4 linked regions of the Drosophila melanogaster genome follow. The gene in region 1 interacts genetically with each later gene. Each region holds a gene or a part of one and is shown in the gene's direction. Other genes may lie near its edges. The genes, in order: Khc, BicD, pk and para.

What was found.
Region 2: of Khc (region 1) and BicD, changing one enhances a phenotype caused by changing the other (phenotypic enhancement), as found in Drosophila melanogaster (one study listed by BioGRID).
Region 3: of Khc (region 1) and pk, changing one suppresses a phenotype caused by changing the other (phenotypic suppression), as found in Drosophila melanogaster (one study listed by BioGRID).
Region 4: of Khc (region 1) and para, changing one enhances a phenotype caused by changing the other (phenotypic enhancement), as found in Drosophila melanogaster (one study listed by BioGRID).

What each region holds. Positions count from the first base shown.
Region 1 is NT_033778.4:16,266,452-16,273,980, reverse strand, and holds Khc (kinesin heavy chain), read left to right. Parts: upstream 1-2,009; 5' UTR 2,010-2,495; coding exon 2,496-2,642; intron 2,643-3,727; coding exon 3,728-4,187; intron 4,188-4,325; coding exon 4,326-6,205; intron 6,206-6,276; coding exon 6,277-6,717; 3' UTR 6,718-7,021; downstream 7,022-7,529. Other genes in the region: CG33017 (uncharacterized protein), read right to left, coding at 1-1,276, 1,340-1,669; csul (capsuleen), read right to left, coding at 7,107-7,262, 7,328-7,529. UniProt on the Drosophila melanogaster protein: Kinesin is a microtubule-associated force-producing protein that may play a role in organelle transport. Milt and Miro form an essential protein complex that links Khc to mitochondria for light chain-independent, anterograde transport of mitochondria.
Region 2 is NT_033779.5:17,470,176-17,474,816, reverse strand, and holds the start of BicD (bicaudal D), read left to right. Parts: upstream 1-1,601; 5' UTR 1,602-2,492; coding exon 2,493-2,720; intron 2,721-2,964; exon of another isoform or gene 2,965-3,214; intron 3,215-4,641. Other genes in the region: Sgt (small glutamine-rich tetratricopeptide containing protein), read right to left, coding at 234-1,229. UniProt on the Drosophila melanogaster protein: This protein is essential for differentiation. It may play a role in localizing of Nanos (a maternal determinant) activity in oocytes. Functions redundantly with BicDR.
Region 3 is NT_033778.4:7,185,492-7,190,246, forward strand, and holds the start of pk (prickle), read left to right. Parts: upstream 1-1,741; 5' UTR 1,742-2,122; intron 2,123-4,755. UniProt on the Drosophila melanogaster protein: Acts in a planar cell polarity (PCP) complex; polarization along the apical/basal axis of epithelial cells. Correct expression of the alternative isoforms is required for PCP signaling in imaginal disks.
Region 4 is NC_004354.4:16,524,383-16,529,081, reverse strand, and holds the start of para (paralytic), read left to right. Parts: upstream 1-1,667; 5' UTR 1,668-1,805; intron 1,806-3,666; exon of another isoform or gene 3,667-3,860; coding exon of another isoform or gene 3,861-4,699. Other genes in the region: Cnx14D (calnexin 14D), read left to right, coding at 3,861-4,699. UniProt on the Drosophila melanogaster protein: Mediates the voltage-dependent sodium ion permeability of excitable membranes.

The sequences.
Region 1 (7,529 bases):
GGGATGGGTTAGTAGAGGCATCTGGGGACTGTGCCTGTACCCACACATCTGTGGGCGCATCCTCCGCATTGATGCAATACACATGCTGTGGCTCCGGATACATAGATCGTCCGTAGTCATTCAGGTAAACCGTTTCATCATATGGAGCGTCTGGTGGAGCTGATCGAGAATAGTTCCTGGCATTCTGATCGACATGATGCGGTTGGTAGTAGTTACCGTGGGCGGGAGGCACAGTTTGATTGCAGTAAATGCACTGGCATCCATGGATATTGCAGCGCTGAACGTCTTGATTTACTTGGTTATAAGTGCAGTAACAACAGTTCGGAACTGGATGGCTGGTGTTATAGTAAGTTTGATCCGAAATCGGTTGAGTGTTGCTGTGTCGATCGGTGGTAGGATTGTTTGCATTGTTCGACAAAGTCCGATCCCTATACTTCTTCTGCAACAGCATTACGTTTAACTGATCCTCGCCTGACTGGCGGCGATTCTTCGTACAGCCGCAGCTTTGATTCCGAACGGAGTCTCCATCGTCGGAGTAACTGCCGGGTTGATTCTGTTGCTTGGCCAACTGGTCTAGAAGTCTCCCGCACACGGCATTATTATTTCGCTTCCAGCTGTCGCAGCACGACTTCTGATTGTCCTCGCCGATTACTTTACGGAACCTGGGCTTCCACTCTCCGCGTTTTTGGGAACATAGTCTGGGACCTGGCCATCTATCGCTGCGTATACCATTGCCGACGGACTCGTAACCATCCCAGTTGTCAGCACCGACGTACACATCATTTTGTTGCGTTTGCGATGAACGCTTTTCTGGGTTGTCTTTCGTGGGACATGAACATGGTTTCCCAGTTCGATACTGTTTGCTATCACTTTTTTGGAATTTATTTGACTGATCCTGTTCCTGATACCGATTAGACATCCTTGGGTTGGTACTGCCGCTTTCTCCGCCTTCTAAAGAGCTCTTACTTCCGAATTGAGGACGACTGCTTTGACCTCTTAGCTCGCACGCTTCACAAGGATCTTCGTCTTCCTCTGGCTTGCAACGAACACAGTACGCAGTGGGATACCACCGATCATTGCCGGACGTAGATCTTTCATGGTGCACACCTAAGAACTCTTCATTTGGTGGCTCAGGCTCTAGAATCATCTTGTAGAAGGTGTACCCGCACCTGGTTTCACTGCAGCTGGGACTTAAAAAAGCTAGAGGCGATATGAATGTGTCCTCCGAAAAATTGGGTGGGAAATGTCCTTCCTTAATGGGACAGTTAGCTTCCTCCTGTGTAAAAATAGAAGATAATGGTTCACTATTCAATATCCAGTGCAAAAACCATCCACTCACCTCCAAGTTTCCCAAGAAATGCAAGTCCTCGAAGTAGGAGTACCTTGGACTATAACTATAACCCTCAATTTGACTATTTCGGATGGCGGCCAATTCCTTGGAGTAGTAGTGCCGCAGACCGAGCACCTGCAGCTCCACCTGGTCAGGAGTCAGGCCGCAGTTCATCCGCCGGGTGATTTGTCGCCAGGCGTCATCCTTCGCAGAACCACTATGGAAACCAGGTGACTTTGGATTCCAGAGGCACTCGTTCGATCGATAAAGTCGGATGAGCTTCTGCGTCTTCTTCAATCGCTCCAAATTCAAATACGACGTAATATCCTTCTGTGCCATCGTGCCCCTCTGTTCTCCACAATCCTTTCCAGCGACTCGGTGATCAATCTTCCATAGCGTTTTCCTATTGAACCTACAGAGGTTGTATGCCTAGTTTGGAGCTATATATTGCGCCCAAGCCGAAATATTTGGACAGGAAAAACAAAAGTGACAATAAACAAGCAATTTTGAATAATTTTTGAATGATTTTTAAACGGTATCGCTTAATTAGGAATATTATATGCCGTTACCATTTTCAAGATCTGCAGGGTGTCTCATACATTCGAAGCTTTTGAGAGTATTAATTCAGTATTATTGTGCAATTAAATGGCGATTGGTATTTAGCTGGGCGAGCAGAACGGTCACACTGGCGCACAGTAGCGAAAATAATAGTCGAATAATAAAATAGTTTTGAGTGCAACTAATTCCGACCTACTAACGTATGCGAGTGCATTTAGCGGCTGCACTTAATCATTCCGGGCAAAAAAGTGCAAAACAGTACGACGCGGAGCAGTCAGAATCGAGGTTGCGCTCCAGCGTTATCGCCATTTGACCAATTCAACTTTTGTGTCTGGTATAACCACAAAATTTTCACTGCATCTTCTTATTTGAGCCGCCCCCAACCCAATTTTCGCGAGTGTGTCGGAATCAGCAGAGAATCGGAACAAAAGGGGCCAAACGGAGTACCAGAATCGGCACAAGCAAACAGTGAACAGCAGATAGTGCGGACGATAGCGAGTCCGTTGATTATCCACGTAAACAGTGAGCTGCATGCGCAGAGGTCGCGCCCAGAGCTGCAGAAATCCAACAATCTCCGCCAGAAAGATCTATCTCCGCCCTGTAAGCAATGTCCGCGGAACGAGAGATTCCCGCCGAGGACAGCATCAAAGTGGTCTGCCGATTCCGACCGCTGAACGACAGCGAAGAGAAGGCCGGCTCCAAGTTCGTGGTCAAGTTCCCCAACAATGTGGAGGAGAACTGCATATCCATAGCGGTATGTGTTCCAGATCTATAGTTTTCGCCAGCCCCCAGTGCCTTTTCCCTATGTGTTATGCATTAATCTCGGCGTGCCGCGCCATGACGTCATGCCTATTAGCGTACATTACCCTTCCCCAAAATTGCCGACCAATTGGAATGCCAGGCGATAAAAAGAGAGAGGCACTAAAGTTACCCATGAATAATTGCACAAAACAAAACTAGATGTACATATACATGTATATGATGAAACCAACTAACTTTACTCCAAATCAATATTGCTTTGCACCAAATTGATTTTCCCCCAGTCGAAAAAGAATAGGGTGTGTAAATCGAAAGAAGCGCGATGACGGGGTGGAGAAATGCCACCCACTAGACGGTTTTCTGCTAAAAGCGGGTGTTCCATTCTTTTGGGCCGCATAAATATGCGCTTTTCTAGTTTCCAGTCCGCCTTCAGTGCTTACCTCACTTACATTTCCACACAAACACATACACACATTGACGGTAGCCCCCGCTCCACTTCCACTCCCCTGTCCGCGCGCCAATGAGTCATGCACGCAAAGCATACAAAAAAAAAAAATATGAGGAAAAACAATAAGAGCAACTTTGGAGGCAATGGAATTTGGCTGTATTGCTTTTATGCCACATGAAATGTTATTGCTTTGTATGCTATGCTGAATTTCCCGCTTTTCCGCCAGGTGTAATCCGTCATATTCCTGGTAAAGCTTGGGCAATTGAACCAGTTCCAAAAAAGTCAGCACTAATATAGTGCCTCCATACACAGACATTATCATTACGCTCTCTCTCTCTCTCTGACTAACTCTATCTATCTCTCTTTCGCTGTGGCTTTCTTCTGGCGCTCGTTATTCACTATTCTTCCCCCTTCCACTTAACATGTCTTAATGCTCATAATTACAATCTGCTTCGCGGCCATGCGTTGAAAATGATTCAAAGGCAGTCAGCGGGAAAAGATCGGGGACAGGGGGAATGAATCTCCGAAAGAAATTTCACCGCAACTGACACCAGTTTATAGCTAATGTAACTGGCTGCTATGTACTAAAGAAAAAAACACATTATACTAAACCTAATCTCCATCGTCTGCAGGGCAAGGTGTATTTGTTCGACAAGGTCTTCAAACCGAATGCATCCCAGGAGAAGGTCTACAATGAGGCGGCCAAGTCCATTGTTACGGATGTCCTGGCCGGGTACAATGGAACGATATTCGCATATGGTCAGACGTCCTCCGGAAAAACGCATACGATGGAGGGCGTGATCGGGGACTCCGTAAAACAGGGTATCATACCACGTATCGTCAACGACATTTTCAATCACATCTACGCGATGGAGGTGAACCTGGAGTTTCACATCAAGGTCTCCTACTACGAGATCTACATGGACAAGATTCGAGATCTGTTGGACGTCTCCAAGGTGAACTTAAGCGTGCACGAGGACAAGAACCGGGTGCCGTACGTCAAGGGCGCTACGGAACGGTTCGTCTCGTCGCCGGAGGATGTTTTCGAGGTGATCGAGGAGGGCAAATCCAATCGTCACATCGCTGTGACAAGTGAGTACTAATTAAAATCGATGGTCAGGACCATTTCAGCCAAACAAGTCTAGGAGTTATTCCAGCATTCGCTCTGACCTCGATTGTAGTGTTTCATGTACCAGATCATCTTTTATAACGATTTATCCATCCTTTCAGACATGAACGAGCATTCTTCGCGATCCCACTCAGTATTCCTTATCAATGTGAAGCAGGAGAACCTGGAGAACCAGAAGAAACTATCCGGCAAACTCTACCTGGTGGATTTGGCCGGTTCCGAGAAGGTTTCCAAGACTGGAGCGGAGGGAACCGTTCTTGATGAAGCCAAGAACATCAACAAGTCGCTGTCGGCCTTGGGCAACGTAATTTCAGCCCTGGCGGACGGAAACAAAACGCACATCCCCTACCGTGATTCCAAGCTCACGCGCATCCTGCAGGAGTCGCTGGGAGGCAATGCACGCACAACCATCGTCATCTGCTGCTCTCCAGCCAGTTTCAACGAATCTGAAACGAAGTCAACGCTGGACTTCGGTCGTAGAGCCAAGACAGTGAAGAACGTGGTCTGCGTTAACGAGGAGCTTACTGCCGAGGAATGGAAGCGACGCTATGAAAAGGAGAAGGAAAAGAACGCCCGACTAAAGGGTAAGGTGGAGAAGCTGGAGATCGAGCTTGCGCGCTGGAGAGCGGGTGAAACTGTTAAGGCGGAGGAGCAAATCAACATGGAGGATCTCATGGAGGCAAGCACGCCCAACCTGGAAGTGGAGGCAGCACAGACGGCGGCGGCCGAGGCCGCTTTGGCCGCCCAGCGAACGGCTCTCGCCAATATGTCCGCATCGGTTGCCGTGAACGAGCAGGCCAGGCTGGCTACAGAGTGCGAGCGTCTCTACCAGCAGCTGGACGACAAGGATGAGGAGATCAATCAGCAGAGCCAGTACGCCGAGCAGCTCAAGGAGCAGGTGATGGAGCAGGAGGAACTCATCGCTAACGCTCGGCGTGAGTATGAGACTTTGCAGTCGGAGATGGCGCGAATCCAACAGGAGAACGAGTCCGCCAAGGAAGAGGTTAAGGAGGTGCTCCAAGCTCTCGAAGAGCTGGCTGTAAACTACGACCAGAAATCCCAGGAGATCGATAACAAGAACAAGGATATCGATGCCCTCAACGAGGAGCTGCAGCAGAAGCAGTCTGTGTTCAACGCCGCCTCCACAGAGCTACAGCAGCTCAAGGACATGTCCTCACACCAGAAGAAGCGCATCACGGAAATGCTAACCAACCTACTGCGCGACCTTGGCGAAGTGGGCCAGGCCATTGCCCCCGGCGAGTCCAGCATTGACCTCAAGATGAGTGCTCTGGCTGGCACGGATGCCAGCAAGGTGGAGGAAGATTTCACCATGGCGCGTTTGTTTATCAGCAAGATGAAGACGGAGGCCAAGAACATTGCCCAGCGATGCTCCAACATGGAAACACAGCAGGCTGACTCCAACAAGAAGATCTCCGAATATGAGAAAGATCTGGGCGAGTACCGGCTACTCATTTCGCAGCACGAGGCACGCATGAAGTCGCTGCAGGAGTCGATGCGGGAGGCAGAGAACAAGAAGCGCACGCTCGAGGAACAAATCGATTCGCTGCGCGAGGAATGCGCCAAGCTCAAGGCCGCCGAGCACGTTTCCGCCGTTAACGCCGAGGAGAAACAGCGGGCTGAGGAGCTGCGCTCCATGTTCGATTCTCAGATGGACGAGCTACGCGAAGCCCACACCCGGCAGGTGTCCGAGCTCCGGGATGAGATTGCCGCCAAGCAGCACGAAATGGACGAGATGAAGGATGTCCATCAAAAGCTGCTCTTGGCGCACCAACAGATGACGGCCGACTACGAGAAGGTGCGCCAGGAGGATGCCGAGAAGTCCAGCGAGCTTCAGAACATCATCCTCACCAACGAGCGTCGGGAGCAAGCGCGCAAAGACCTCAAGGGCCTGGAGGACACGGTGGCCAAGGAGTTGCAGACGCTACACAACCTGCGAAAACTTTTCGTTCAGGATCTACAGGTAAAGTTTAAGCAATCCTATCTATTATTGCTACGTACAGATCTTAAAATGTATTTCCCTTGTGCCAACAGCAACGAATCCGAAAGAATGTCGTAAACGAGGAGAGCGAGGAGGACGGTGGATCACTCGCGCAGAAACAGAAGATTTCCTTCTTGGAGAACAACCTCGACCAGCTGACCAAGGTGCACAAGCAATTGGTGCGGGACAACGCCGATCTGCGGTGCGAGCTGCCCAAGCTGGAGAAGCGTCTACGCTGTACCATGGAGCGGGTGAAAGCTCTGGAGACAGCGCTCAAGGAGGCGAAGGAGGGCGCAATGCGGGATCGCAAGCGCTACCAATACGAGGTGGACCGCATCAAGGAGGCGGTGCGACAGAAGCATCTGGGCAGACGTGGCCCACAGGCACAGATCGCCAAGCCGATCCGGTCCGGCCAGGGTGCAATCGCCATTCGTGGTGGTGGCGCCGTTGGAGGACCATCCCCGCTGGCCCAGGTTAATCCTGTCAACTCGTAGATCCAATCACCACCTGTCGCCGCCCAGTTCAGCTCCGCTTTAAACTAAACTAAATGGATTACGTTATACATACTTAACATAACTGATAATTGCCTTCGCTTAGATGAGATGTGTCGCGATCATGTGCAGCGCTTTAAATATACATACATATAATTTAATTAAATAAATGAAAGGAAACCGGAAATTAACTAAATTTTACAAACCGAAAATAATAAAACCCACAGATATGTAAGGACATCTATATACGTTAAGAGTATTTATAAACTTTTCAAACATAAACCTAAATAAAAGTCGCAGACAAATTAAGGTCTCTTTAGTTTGATTCTTATTGCAGTTCAAAAAAATTATGCCGATTATTTGGCTATTGGTTGTTATTACATCGTCTGCTGTTACAATCGCATGTTGTAACCTGTCCCGCGTGTGTTATGGTGCTCCCAATCGTCTGGAGAATTGACCACCTGCCATTCGTACCACACTTTGGTTGCATCCACGCATCGCCAAAACTGGATGGATATAGTCTGTCCCTCCCTCAGAGTTCTTGGACGCTGAGTAGTAAAAATATATATTAATGTAGCAGTTATCAAAGGCTAACTAATCACATCACACGTACCGTTGCGAAGAACATGGGGAACCAGGAGAACATGCCAGGCGTATGGGTCAGAGGATTGATGCTTAGGCAGATGTCCTTGTACAAATGGGTATCAAAGTATCCGCCGATTCCGTGCAGCACGCAATCTTTATTGACTTTAAATGAAACCGTCTTGCAGCGAGTATTGTCAATATTTTCCGCTCGATTAGGATGTACGAATTCA
Region 2 (4,641 bases), on another chromosome or scaffold:
TATGAGGCATTATAATATATATATTTAATATTCATTGAAAATTCGATTGGAACAGCGGCAATTTGCACGGTCATTTATTTATTTCCATTGGATAAAAATGTATATGTATGTATGTATGTATGCGTAATAGAAGCCATTTAAACATTATAAATACATTTATAGTTTCAGCTTAACAACTTAATCTGTGTGCCGCCGATCCAGGCAGGGATCGGGGATCGGGATTCTATCCACTTCTAGGTGCTCGGTGGTGGCTGATTGCCCGGCTGCTGTTCATTGCCAGGATTTGCGTTCGAATTGGGAAAGCCAGTCAATTGGCTGGTCATGTTATAGATCATTTGCACCATGTCATTGGGCAGGGTCGGGGCATTGCCGCCGCCGAACTGCTGGCGAATGGTGTTCATGATCATTGGATTCTGAAGCATCGACAGCAGCTGCTCCACGTCGATCTCGGCGTTGTTGAACAAATTCCTAACCATTGGCTGGGACAGCATGTTGATTAGGTCTTCCCTTAATCGCCCCGTTTGGGGCGGCTGGTTCCTGGCGTTTCTGGCCGCTTCCAGGTTGCTCTTGTACACCTCGTTGTCCGGTTCCAGCTCGATGGCCTTGGCGTAGGCCTGTTCCGCCTTCTCGAAATTGCCCATGTTGGAGTACGCCACGCCCAGGCGGCAGTACGCCTTGCTGTAGTTGTTGTTGTACACCAGGGCGGACTTGCAATCGGTTACGGCGCGTTCGTTCTCACCCAGCCGGATGTGGGCCGCAGCCCGATTGCAGTAGAAGATCGGATTCTTGGGATCGAAGGCGATGGCACGATTGTACTGCAGCAGTGCTTCATTGTACTTGTTCTCCTTCATCAGCCGGTTGCCCTCGTTCTTGATGGATTCGGCCAGGGCCAGGGATTCCGGATTGCGTTCTGTATACAGCGACTGGAAGAGCTCGAACATGTCAATGTTATTGGGAACGGCGGCGGCGGCGGCGCCGATACCAGCACTTCCGCTGGCCACCGCATCATCGTCCGGTGCGCTCGCAGTGCTGCTGCTCTGTGTGGTGGCCTGCTCCTCACCAGCCGCAGCCGGCGCTGCCTCCACATCATCGCCCAAGTCAAAGGCCGCCTGCAGGCACTGGATCGCCACCTCGATGCTTTCGGTCTGGTCCGGCGACATCACGTCCCCCTGCTTCTTCAGGTAGTCAATGAAGCTACGCACGAAACTCTGCTGCACTGCGTCCGGCATTTTGGTTATGCTTTAGATTTCTGTTCGCTTAATTTCGATCGACAGACAAGTTGAAAAGTAAATGTGATTAGGCGAAATGTGAATATAAAATCGAGTATCGATGTGCTACATGGCCCGATAACTTTTGAGACATATATCGAACATTCTGATAGTATGGGAAATGCTGACGCTGTTTACAAACTTTGGTTTCAGCTTAAATTATATTTATATTATATATTTTTATATAAAAATAAATCTGTTGCTTCAAGCATTTTAAATAAAATCATACCCTTAGTAGTGGAAACGCGATTATTATTACCAACGCGAGGTTTGGGTCCGAGCTAAGCGCATTCTTAACGCTTTTCTCCACACCTCTCCGCATTATCGAAAGTTTTGCCTGCGGTCGCACTGAAATTCCGTCACAAACATTGCCAAGAATCGACGTGATTGCGGACAAAATTTTGTTTTTGCACTTGCTTGAAAATTTCGACTCCATCGACGACCGCAGCGATTGGGCCTGATATATACCGCATTTAGCCGTCTACGCCGCAATTGTGCAACGGATAACGAGAATACGCGAAGAGCAGTCGTGCGAACGGGGAAAGTGCAGGGAAAATGGGAAAAACTCCCACTTTGCCAGCGAACGAAAGGAAAGGGGAAATTGTGTGATGTCATTTCGGCTGTTTCTTTTCGAGTTAATTGAAACAACTTCCTGCGCTGCGTTTTCAGTTTCTGCTGCCAACTGTTTTATACGCGCCTATGTGTGCGTACGGCAGTGCGCTGGTGTGTGTGTGTGACTTACAGGCATATATAAATATAGTGCAGAATTATTTGCCGTTAAAAGCCCACGGTTAATTGGCCATTAAGCGCTGTTTAATTTACTAATTTAGCGCGGTGAGTGAAGAGAGGAGAAAACCCGCAGCGATACCATTCCACACACACACACACACGTTCGCATTCAAACGGAAAAGAGAAAAGGTGAAACGCACGCACACACACGCAAAAAGCACACCGCGAGTGGAGTTGTGTGAGTGTGGGGTTTCGATAAAAAAAATTATTTTAAAAAAAGCACTGAAGTACAACAAAACAGTGCGGCATATACAAATCGACTTCTATCGATTTCCCTCCAAAACATAAAATTGTATCGAAAAGATTCCGCCCAGGATAGAAGCATCAACAGCAACAACGAGGAGATTCACCTGCCCACGGGCAGCTGTACCGTCCACCAACACCCACACCATCACCCCCTCCCCCGACCACTAAGGACACCATCCATCCATCATCATGTCCAGCGCCAGCAACAACGGCCCATCGGCGGACCAATCCGTGCAAGACCTGCAAATGGAGGTGGAGCGCCTCACGCGCGAACTGGACCAGGTGTCCTCCGCCAGCGCCCAGTCCGCCCAGTACGGACTGTCCCTGCTGGAGGAGAAGTCCGCCCTGCAGCAGAAGTGCGAGGAACTGGAGACGCTCTACGACAACACGCGCCACGAACTGGACATCACACAGGAGGTAAGTTTGCCTACAATTCTTCGCAGTTTTTAAATGCTCCAATGGGTTATATAGTAACCCGCCAATTTGGCCCCCTCTGTTGCTATGTTTTTCGATCTGTTTCCAAGCAGTCGCCGCTTATCGCCCAGCTGGCCCACTCGCGTACTCACACACACCTTGGGGCACACACACCTACATATTTAGACAGAGAAAACCTTTCCACAACGGCCAACAATTTGTCTTGCTGGCAAACTAACTCGCTCACCTGTTGGCCAGTTTGACTCTCTTTCGGCGAGTCTACCTATCGCTCTGCAAAGTCCGTCTGGTCTGGTCTAGCAGAAATAATTGGGATTCGCTCTCTGATCATGAAATCGGAAACTGGCTTGGCCATATGGTCACGTGCTGTTGTTTTGTATACCTTTAAATACAGTGGAACCGCTTGGGTCGATTGAAGATACTATTCAGTCCGCTAAACAAAACAATAAATAAACTAAAAAATGAAAAACACAACTTAACAGCTGAAAGAAAGCCTTTACGACCGCAAAAAGTATTTATGTATGTTTATCATAGATCATAATCGCTAGCCAAGTGTCCTTCTGTCCGTCAGTATAAAGGCCAAAAAAAGCCATGCGATGCCATTATTCTAGTGATCCTAGATGATATGTGTTGTTCAAATCATAAAGCGATCTTTAAAGTTAACACTATAGCATTCTCATTTGATTTGATTGAAAACACTTAAACATTTAAAATGCATTTGGCTGGCAGAATTATTTCATTGTTTCAAAATTATGTTTTCTTTGTTTTTTTATCTTTATCTTGTCTCCACTGATCACGCTCAATTTGGCATAAACATTGTTTTGGCCTATAAAAATTATCTCAGCTTTCAGTTGGCCGATTGCAGCACGGCCAATCTACTCTTGCCATTTCATTTTGCACCTTTATTCAGTGCCCAACTACCTCCACTTCCACATCCAACTCCTCCTTTTCTTCTTACCACCAACCTTCCTTTCCAATTAGTCCTCGTCATCGCCTGGCATTTCCTCTGGAATTTTCACAGGCCGTGGATTGTCGGGCTCTGAACTGCATTACCAGACGGCAGGGAAAAGTTGTGTCCTTTCCTCGGTAAAAATCAAATGGGGGAAGCAGTCTATACTCATTCAGCCGTCTATTATCATTTCGTGCTTTGGCTTTTTCCGACTGGTGTCCCAACAAGCTTCCTTTTTGGTTTGTTTTGCTTGTTGCCAAAAGAAAACGTTGGTTTAGGCCGATTTTGTTGGAGAAGGGTAAATAAAGCATACAGTAAATACAACTGGTTAAATAAAGATCAGAACAATTATACACATGTTTACTGTATTACGCAAATTAACAAAATCATTTGTTATTTTTAGATTTGATTTTGGTGTAAACATATAGTTCATATTCTTTAAGTATCCCCAATTAGCAAACAGTGCAATTAAAGTTCCATTAACCATGGGGCTAACAAAAGTTAGCTGGAATTAAAATCCTACGGGGGCGTTAACACCTGCACACACGCACACACACAATGCAGGCGGTAACACCTTTTTTACAAATGGGCATATGTATGTGCGTAATACGTATATGCGCATGCATTTTTATGCGCTTCGAACAAAAAGCCTGCCAATTAATTGTTGGACAGGTGGCAGTGCACTTGTAACGTAGCTTGATAGTTTCCAGCTTGTTGGATTTGAACTCAACTGAACTTTTACGAGAACACAAATAAAAAAATGAGTGCGAGGCCAAAAGAACCCTCCACCCACACACACACATTTATAATGGATGCTTAAAAATTACAAAAAAAATAATAGCAACGTCGACGACCACGTCACTGCGGGCATTTTCTGTGTCCCCACAAAAGTGTAAAAAAAGGGGTGAGGTTTAAAGGAAGCTATGTGGAGACTGGGCGACATATTTCCACTTGCAA
Region 3 (4,755 bases), 9.1 Mb from region 1:
GCAAATGTGGGCCGGAAAAGTTTGGAAGCCGACTTCGATTTGAGCTAGCTTGCATTGATTTGATGACACTTTGGGGCCCATTCGATTCCGCTAATAAACGAACCACGTCCAGCCCCCTAAACTCCAGCCATTCCCTCCCAGACTTGGCGTGTCTAAAAGTTGTCTGCACCTTGGGGCTGCTCTTTTGACGTTTCCTTCCCAAATGGTGTTTGATGAAATGTGGCAACGAATGAGGCCGTTATGCTTGCAATTAGCCAAATTGATTTTTTGATAGCGTCAACGCTATCCAACTATAATCCCCATTCTTATACTCAATCTTATTTTGGCCCTTATTAGACTCAGCTAATTGCCTTCGATTTACATTTTCGTTTCAGGTAAGCCAAGCGCAGAAACCTACATAAGTATACGTATTGCTGGACAGGTCTTTGATGCCCGGCCCCTCGGGAGCTTCACACGCCGCCGATCCACAATTCAAAATGCCATAAATCATGCATCATTGAGGCATCCCAGGTTGTGCAACAAAAAGCGGCACGCAGAAACGTAGTGTTTCCGTTCACACTCAGCTTCTAATTAGCCTGCGCTGAGATGGCACTAATGTGCGGCCTAATGATCTCCAGTCGGCAGGCAATGATGGTGACCAACTAACATGGTCAGCTGGAAATCAACCTTGAACTCGTCAGATGGCCAACACGGTTGACATCGCACTTTTTGTCACTTCAAGCCCACTTTGCAATGTGGTTGGGAAATATTTTTGCTTTCTGACAAGAGATATTTCATCACTAAGTACCGGCTTTAAATGTAGCTTATGTTATATTTTTGGTCACATCTAATTTATAAAAACCACTCTTAATTACTCAAAAGGGTTTGGCCAAATCGTATTTCACGGTTACCATATTAAAAACTCTTTTGGGTACCCTTCTAGTGTTTTAACTGTTAAAGTATGAAAATCATTTTAGTACGTATTCTTTCGTGTATGTGTGGTAATCAGCTCTTCTGATGCACTTCATTACTACATGCAGTTTTTTCTTACTTAATTATTTTAAGTTTATTGCTCTTTAAACACCATTAATTTACAAGGTGTTTATTACTTAAAGTTAATTATTTAAGATTTGAACAGCGCTGCCATCAGAATACGGCTGGATATATAACTACTAAATTCTTACATCCATGGGAAGGTAGATTACGCAATTCACTATTTATGAACACGAGGCATTCTATGTAAAAGCCCTATTATTGTCCCATAGAGTCCTGGAAAGTTCTTCAGATACTTCAGCATCTAGAATTTTAGAACCCTATATTGTTTGCAAAAAGAAACAAGAAACTTATATTTCTACATTAGACTTAAACGATGAAATATTAGGAACTCAGATTCTACAGAGAATCTTACGCGCAAATCTACATGTATATGATTCTAAAAATGCGTAGTAACGAAGCATACTTTTGGGATGGTAGTGTAAGCAATGGAGCTATCAAACAAGTTCGATGTTGCAGTTGCGGATTGAGTTGCAGCTTATGATATTTGGCGTTTTATACAAATTTAGACAATTTTAACGACGAAATCGGAAACAAATTACTATAAACTATCTTGTTATCGTTAACTACACTTAATAGTGATAGTATTTTGGCAGCTCGTTGAAAGAACACTAAAGCAAGAAGTCCCACGAACACCTTACCTTCATCGAACACGATCCACAGCCTAAGATCAAACCACACAGAAATCCACATCTGGGCAGGTTCGATCAGTCTGAAAGCGTCGTCAGTTGCGAGCGGTTTACATCTGGCAACAGGTGCGGGTTAGTCGTCGCGTAATCCGTCTGAACGATCGATCGATCGCGCGCTCTTCGGCTATGTCGATTTCGGTCCACGTTATCTTGCGCCAGATCTGTCGTTTACCGTTTTTCAGCCAGATCGGAGCAAAGTGCACAAAAAGCTGCTAACTGAATTCGCAACAATTGCAAAAAATTGACAAAAGTGAAGTGCAATCCATAATCCAGAGTGGTCCCTATCAGGGCCAGCTAAATAAGTCTGGCATAGTGTTCCTTCCTGGGGCCAAGTGAATTAATGCAACAATTGGCCTAAGCGCTCATTTACGCTAAATGCTCGGGATAAGCCACACGGGCAAGTGAGATGTGATTTAAGCCATGTTTTCGCCTGATGATTGTCAACGCAGCTCGTTTCGTACAACACGGATACCAGCTGATACTCAAACTCAAACTCCTTCACTGATACAAACGCTTTCGTATTCGTATTCAGATACAGATACAACTGACAATAAAATTACATTAAAAATCAAATGAAATTCGAGGCCGATTGATATGCGAGGCACAGACGTCGGGCCGGCTGCTTTAGCGCAATATTTTTATGGGATTATCGAAGGTCGAGAATCTGTTAGCCAAGGTGTGTGGCTGATACTTAGGAAACGAAAGACTTGAGCAACGAACTTTGGATATGCCCGGCCCGTCGGTGTAATGGCTTTCATAAGCTTATGCACATTACACGTCAACTGAAGTGCTCAGCTTGATTTATTTAGATGCGTTAAGTTTTAATCGCCATTCGCAGCGCACTTTCACCAACTTGCTGCAGCCTCGCGGAATGAAGTCATAACCAAATAGGCTTACGACCCGCTCCAGCACATAAAACATGACTCGTCTAGCCATAAAAACACTTGCCAAAGCCCGAAATATTTTGATTACCGCGCACAGCTCTTGGCTTTCTCCGCCGCTTGATCCAATTAGTTTTTGGTGGGCCATAGTGCAGATAAAGCTGAGGATCTACGGATCTGGTGATCCAAAGCAGCTGCCACCCACAGAAGTGTAATGAAACGGGCTTACATGGCGGCAATGTGTCAACAATGGCTTGTTAGCAATTGCTTTTCAGTCCCGTGTGTGTGTGTGTGTGTCTGTGTGGGCTTCGAACACCTCATTGACAAGAGACATTTGACTCGAGCTGAACGTGTGTGTGGGCCGGGGTTGAAATTTATCTCCGATTTCTAATTGCCTGACATGCCAATTTGAATTTAAAGCGCACCGATAGTGGTTCTGCGGCGCATTCCTCCGCGGTGTATGTACATAGCCCAGGCACGGTGGCCATAAAGCACCAACGGAACACTGCAATTCGCTCTGGTCTTTTATGGCCCGGCCAACTAAATCAATTTTCGCACTGCGGCTGGCTTCGATTCCGGGCTTTATTGAGAAATTCTTCATAATTATGTAGCGTCGGCCGGCGGCGGTTCGAAATAAAACTGTTGTTTATGGCCGAGTTGCGGCAACTAGTTGGCTCAATTATGGAGCTGCTGCATCAACTTTCTCCCTCACTATGGGCCAACTGCCACGGCTGCTTAACCCCAATCGACGCCTCGAACTGACTAACTAACTAACTAACTGGCGTGTTAATTTGTTGGTTAGTTTACTCCGCACGCAGCCATCTAGCCACAATTGCCGGAGCATGAAGGCAAGATGCTCTGGCTATCTGGCTGTCGGGCTATCTGAGATACAAAGCAGCTAAAGATTCCCGCCTCGGAATAGATTGGCCACTTTACAGTTATCGACTTGGTTTTGTTAGCATAACAAAAGGTCCGAGTGGGTCAACAACCTAACTTCGTTATGTCAATCTCTGTGTCTGTGCCCCACCATTTGCATATTACACATGTCTCACGTCCATTTAAAGACGCAATTAACGAACCATTTCCCAGCTATTCATCATTGGCGAGCGAATTTCGGTCTGTAAATTAATTAGGCCCCGTTATGAGCTTTTGAGGCGGGAAGTCGTAAATAAGTATTGGATCCGTCGATGGACGTATGCAAACGCCAATTTGAACTGTCATCCTGTCAGCTCGCGTTAGTTTCCCAACCATCTTCCAGGCAGATAAGAACGGGTTCCCCGGAAAATGGAGCAACGTTAGCTGGCCCGGCCCGCTCGTTTCCTCTCACTCAACGCCATTTGATTGGATTTGACATTTAACACGAGTGCGCTGCAGATTAGACCGGCCAACTGCCTACCGCCCACAAGGTGTCCATTTTGGCGGCGTGCCGACTCGATTTTCATTTCACTTTGTTTTCCACGACATCGAACGATTTTCGAGATGCGATCGGGTTTTATGTGAGCGCAATAAAAACTTGAAAAGGAATTCCATTTCTGCTTAGAGCAATCAATTTCGATGGCGACAAAGACGTTTAGCACCCCGCTCCACCGATAAGCCAGGCGTGAGATTATTATCCGACCCAATGAAATATGAGGCCCAGACAATGGCTCATTAGATCGCCGGGCTTTCGCCCAAACTAGTTTGGCTGGCGGACCTAAACTGTGTAATTATTACGGCCTGGCCCAGCCGTAGCTTTCAGAGGCTCAAATTATAGTTTGGCAGTAAAATAGACAAACAAGTTAATCCATTAGCGAGTGAGACATCCCGCCTGACTGCCAAACAGAACCGGAAAGAATCCAGCTCTGAAGACCGCTATTGGGTGCATATCTCTTATTGTTTATATTGTCTCCCTGGCGGGATTCGTATGGTAATATCGGAAAATGTGCCAGCTGCATAGGCCCATCCGACTGCATAATAAATTATGAAATTTTACAGTTGCAGCCGCGCTGAATGAGTTGTCACGTCTGCGGCTTTCTAAACCACTTAGGTAGGCAGTGATAAGTCCATATATATGTCAGATTCTGTGGCGCTGAATGGGGTTCTTGATAGCTTGATAACACAATTTTAACCCGTTCAAAAGAGACTTTCCGGGCAAATGCGGCTCAAGTGGGCGC
Region 4 (4,699 bases), on another chromosome or scaffold:
CCCACTGTTGCAATTTTCGGGCAGAGCAGAGCCGTGGAATATCAGCTTGATGACCTAAAAATAGAACAAGTGACCAAAGACAAATAAAAAAATGAGAGTCGGCGATGGCGAATAGTATGTGGCAAATGGCGGAGAATAGCGAAGGGCGAAAGGATAAGCAGCGAAAAACAGGGTGGCAAAGTAGCACAACAAAACCTGTGTTGACAACGACTTGGGTGGTTATATATGGCAAATGCTTTAGGGCGAAAAGGACTTCTCACACACACACAAACACACACACGCGCGAACTGCTTCTGCTCCTTTTCGCGGCAAATTCGGATAAAAGGAAGTCACGGCGAAACGGCGGACAACTGCCTGGTTCGCCCGAAAACGGAGTTACCCAGAGAGGAGGAACTTTTTCAGTGCTCAGTGCTCGACTTTTTTCCGCATCCTTGTGTCCTTTTTCAATACTGCTCTGCGTTTCACGTGCGCGCGAAAATTGCATAAACACAAACAAGCCGCGACTCGCTGCCTCGACATTTTTTTTTACAGTGCATCCAATCCAGTGAGACATTATCCTGCCAATTGAGTGCTCATTTTACGTTTTTTTTTTCGTGTGTCTAAGTGAAAGCCATCAAGTGTGTGAATACAATTTACAAGCCCATTTTAAATATCTATTGAAGAAATATAACAAGTTTAGTAGAAGGAATCAAATAAACTAACGACATAATTCACATAATTGGCACAAGGACAGCAGAAAATCTAACATATAAAAAGAAATAAATATTAAAAAAAATAATTTCAAGCCATTCAAACAATACTAGGGGGTGCTTTTAGTGGGCCATACAAATTATTCGAAATTTTTTCTTCCGATAATATTTTTTTCAATTTTTTTTACATTTCTGTCACCTTTTGTGAATGAGTTTTCCCATCAAATTTTCCAATTTAAGCTGGGTTTCAACAACTTGTTCGCTTTTCCGCAGGCGACGCTGACGAAATTGAAACTAAAACCGAAATAAAATCTGCAAATAATAATAATAATACTATTAGTCATAATACGGAAAACCAATTATAATCATAGCAACAGTTGAGAAACCAAGCCGAGGCAAACTCATTTAAATATCCCAGCCAGGTAGCCAGATACTAGTAGAAATAATACAACAAATAATATTAACATTAACTATAAATAATAAATTGAAACAGCTCTGGGAACAAAACGCAACGTTTGATGAAAATTTCTGGCAACACGTCTTGGTTGTTGTTAAGCACGCAAAAAAATTAAATAAAAAAACCAATTCAAATACCCAATGATAATGCAGATTTAACAAACAAAACCAAAACAAATAAAAGCAAACAAAAATACAAATATAAAAAAAAAACCAAACAAAAAAACCAAAAAACAAAACAAACAACAAATTCATCTTCTACTTGTTCTACCGCTTCAACTTTATTCGTCTTCGTCTCCGTAATATATATATATATATAAAATATACATATATATATATTTATATATATATATATCTATGTATATGTATGCATATGTGTGTGAGTGCGTCGCGTGTGTGTTGGTGCCTGTAAATGTGTGAGCCACAACAACAACAACTACAACAACAGCAGCAGCAGCCAGAGCCACAACCACAACAACAACAACAGTAGTTAACAGCAGCAACAATTCTTAGCAGCAGCAGCAACAACAACAATACAAGCAAGCACGCTCACAACAAAAGCAGCAACAGCAACAACAACCACAATAGCAACTACAGCAACAACAACATCAGCGGATAGAGCGAGCAGCCAGGCACAACATCGATAGACATCGATTAACGGTAGGTAATCGAAGGCAATCGAAAAAATCCATTTAATATGTATTTTATTATCACATTCATTGCACTTTTAATTATGCTAATGATATTTAACCCTAAACAGAGGAAAAAAAATCGTGAAATTTTTTATTTGTTGAGTTTCAACTATTTCCGATACCTTGAATGATTTATTCTTAAGACTAAACGATCTTTCGAGTCTAAAAGAACCACTTTTATGATGAATTCTTACAATTAACACATAGTGGAAATGTATTGAAAATAATTATGTTATCTATGTTAGAGCAAACAGGCTAACAATGTGTTATATTAGAAATTCTCAGCTCTTACTTAACTTACTTCTCAGCTCAAAACAAAGTCATTAATTTACTTTTCATTTTGGTCAAAGAGAACTACATTTTACTGGGTCAATGGTTCAACTTTCATTGAAAGTTTTTAAGAAACCCACATTTGGTATTCCCATCGATTGCAATTTTAATATAGAATACCAAAAAGGGCAATTTACGCTGCACGTCAAATGAGAATTTAGAAAGCAATTGTGTCTTTCGTATGTATTTCAATATTTGAATAGCTAGAAAAGTGTGAACGGAGCAGTGGGCGACTTGATGAACTTGGCTCGATTATGTCATGCCTCCTTGGTGAAAATCCCAGTTAACCAGGCCCGACCTCAAGACCATATCAATGGGGTATCTGCGCCCCTTTTTGTCCCGCCCACTGGCACGCCCCTTTGCTTTTGGGCTACAACCTTTTGCTGGCTTTTGGAGGGCAAACTTTCAGCTGCCACAAAAAAAAAAAAAGAACAGAGCAGAGCAGAGCAGAAAAAAATGAATGATGAAGGTTGAGGGGGGGGGGTGTTTCTAACGGAATTCCTTTGCTCACGCACACATTGAAAGGAGGTTCGTTAAGAGAGAAGGGAACCCAAAAATGTATTGTTGTAGTCCGTGTTTGTTGGCGGCATCACACAGAGAAGTGAGAGCGCAAGAGAGAGGGCACTGGCTCTCTCGGCGCAGGCAGGAGGAGAGTGAGAGTCCTCGCTCTCTCGCCAGCCCATTGCGCTCTCCCATGCAAAATTCATTGACTAACAACATGCTAACTTCGTTCAGTTTTTTGCTGTTTCTGTTTGTTTTTTTTTTTAGTTTTTTAGTCCTTTCCTTGCCATCGAATTTTGTTCAACAATTAATAGGGTAGCAGATATTCTGTGTTATATTGCCAAATCGATACCTTGGGTTGGCTAAGGAAAACGTTTTGCGTTTCGCTCATGTGTTTGTCATGTGTCATTTGCATATTGACACAAATTCCGGCTCGGGTTGTTTTTTATTTCAATTCTTGTTTGCGGTTTTTCGCATGACTCATCGACCCAGCGAATGGCCAAAAATTAATTCGGCAAACAGAATTTTGCGAGTGTCATGAATGGAAACAGACACACATAAATATATGCTCATATTGGCACATCCACTGCCACTCTGTGTGTGTGTGAGAACGCTACCCTATGCTTCATGCCTCCGTGTGTGTGTGAGTGTGGCGAAATATCGAACTGACCTACTTTTATGCTCGATACACACACACACACACACACGCACACACACTGGCGCGCTCACACATACACACACGCAGCCAGATTGGCAAATGGAAAAAGAGTGCTTTGACCTTAGCGGAGGCTGCTTATGTAAGCCCAATATCCGAAGACCGCAGGAACATCCGTAACCGAATCTAGATTCAATTCTCACATTTTCTGTAGTAGCGGTAGAAGGTAGTGTTAGACCGTTTCAAATAAATGAAGTGCTTATAATATTATCTACATTTTAAAAATCATAATCGTATTACCTATTACTAAGCTATCTATGTAAGTCAAATCCAAAATTTATACAAACAAGCAAGCGGCGTCAATAAAGTCATACGCATTAAGGCTCAGTTCAGTCAAGTCAACCACTTTTCACAAAAAATCGTTAAAAATCGTTAATTTCTTCGAACGTCGCTATATTAAAAAAACGCAAGGCTCAATTCAGTCAATCCTTATCTATTCCAACTCTGAGTAAGCGAGCAAGCGAAAAGTGTGTGAAAATGGCTTGGAAAATGCTCTTCGCCATTTTGTTGCTGCTGAGTGCGGCCAAAACCGGCTATTTGGCCCCGGAGTCGGAAAACTCTGTGGAGGATGTGCAGATAGAGCCCGGCGCCATCTATGGCGATGAGAAGTTTGCCTACAAGAGTCCGGTGATCGATGCCGAAAAGTTTTACTTTGCGGATCACTTCGACGACGTGGAGGCATCCCGAAAGAGATGGGTACTGTCGCAGGCCAAGAAGAACGACATCGCCGATGAGATAGCCAAATACGATGGCATCTGGAACTGGGAGTCTCCGCAACGCATCTTTTGGGCAAACGATCTGGGTCTGGTGCTCAAGTCGAAGGCCAAGCATGCGGCCATAGCCGCCCCCTTTCGCCAGCCGTTCGATTTCAAGTCGAACAAGCCGCTGGTGGTGCAGTACGAGCTTACGTTGCAGGAGGGTCAGGACTGTGGCGGCTCGTATCTGAAGCTTTTGTCCGCCGGAAAAGGCACGGAGCAACTAAATCGCTTCAATGACAAGACACCCTATACCATCATGTTTGGTCCGGACAAGTGCGGCAACAATTTGAAAATGCACTTTATATTCCGGCACGTCAATCCATTAAATGGCAACATCACCGAAAAGCACTGCAAAAAGCCAAATGCCCGTTTGGGAGTGCCATTCACGGACAAGCTACCCCATCTCTACCAGCTGGTGGTCCGTCCCGATAACAGCTTTGAGATTCGCTTAGACCACAAGATCATCAAAGAGGGTTCCCTGCTGACCGACTTTGTGCCACCAGTCAACCCACCGGCGGAGATAGATGACCCCAATGACCACAAGCCAGAATCGTGGGA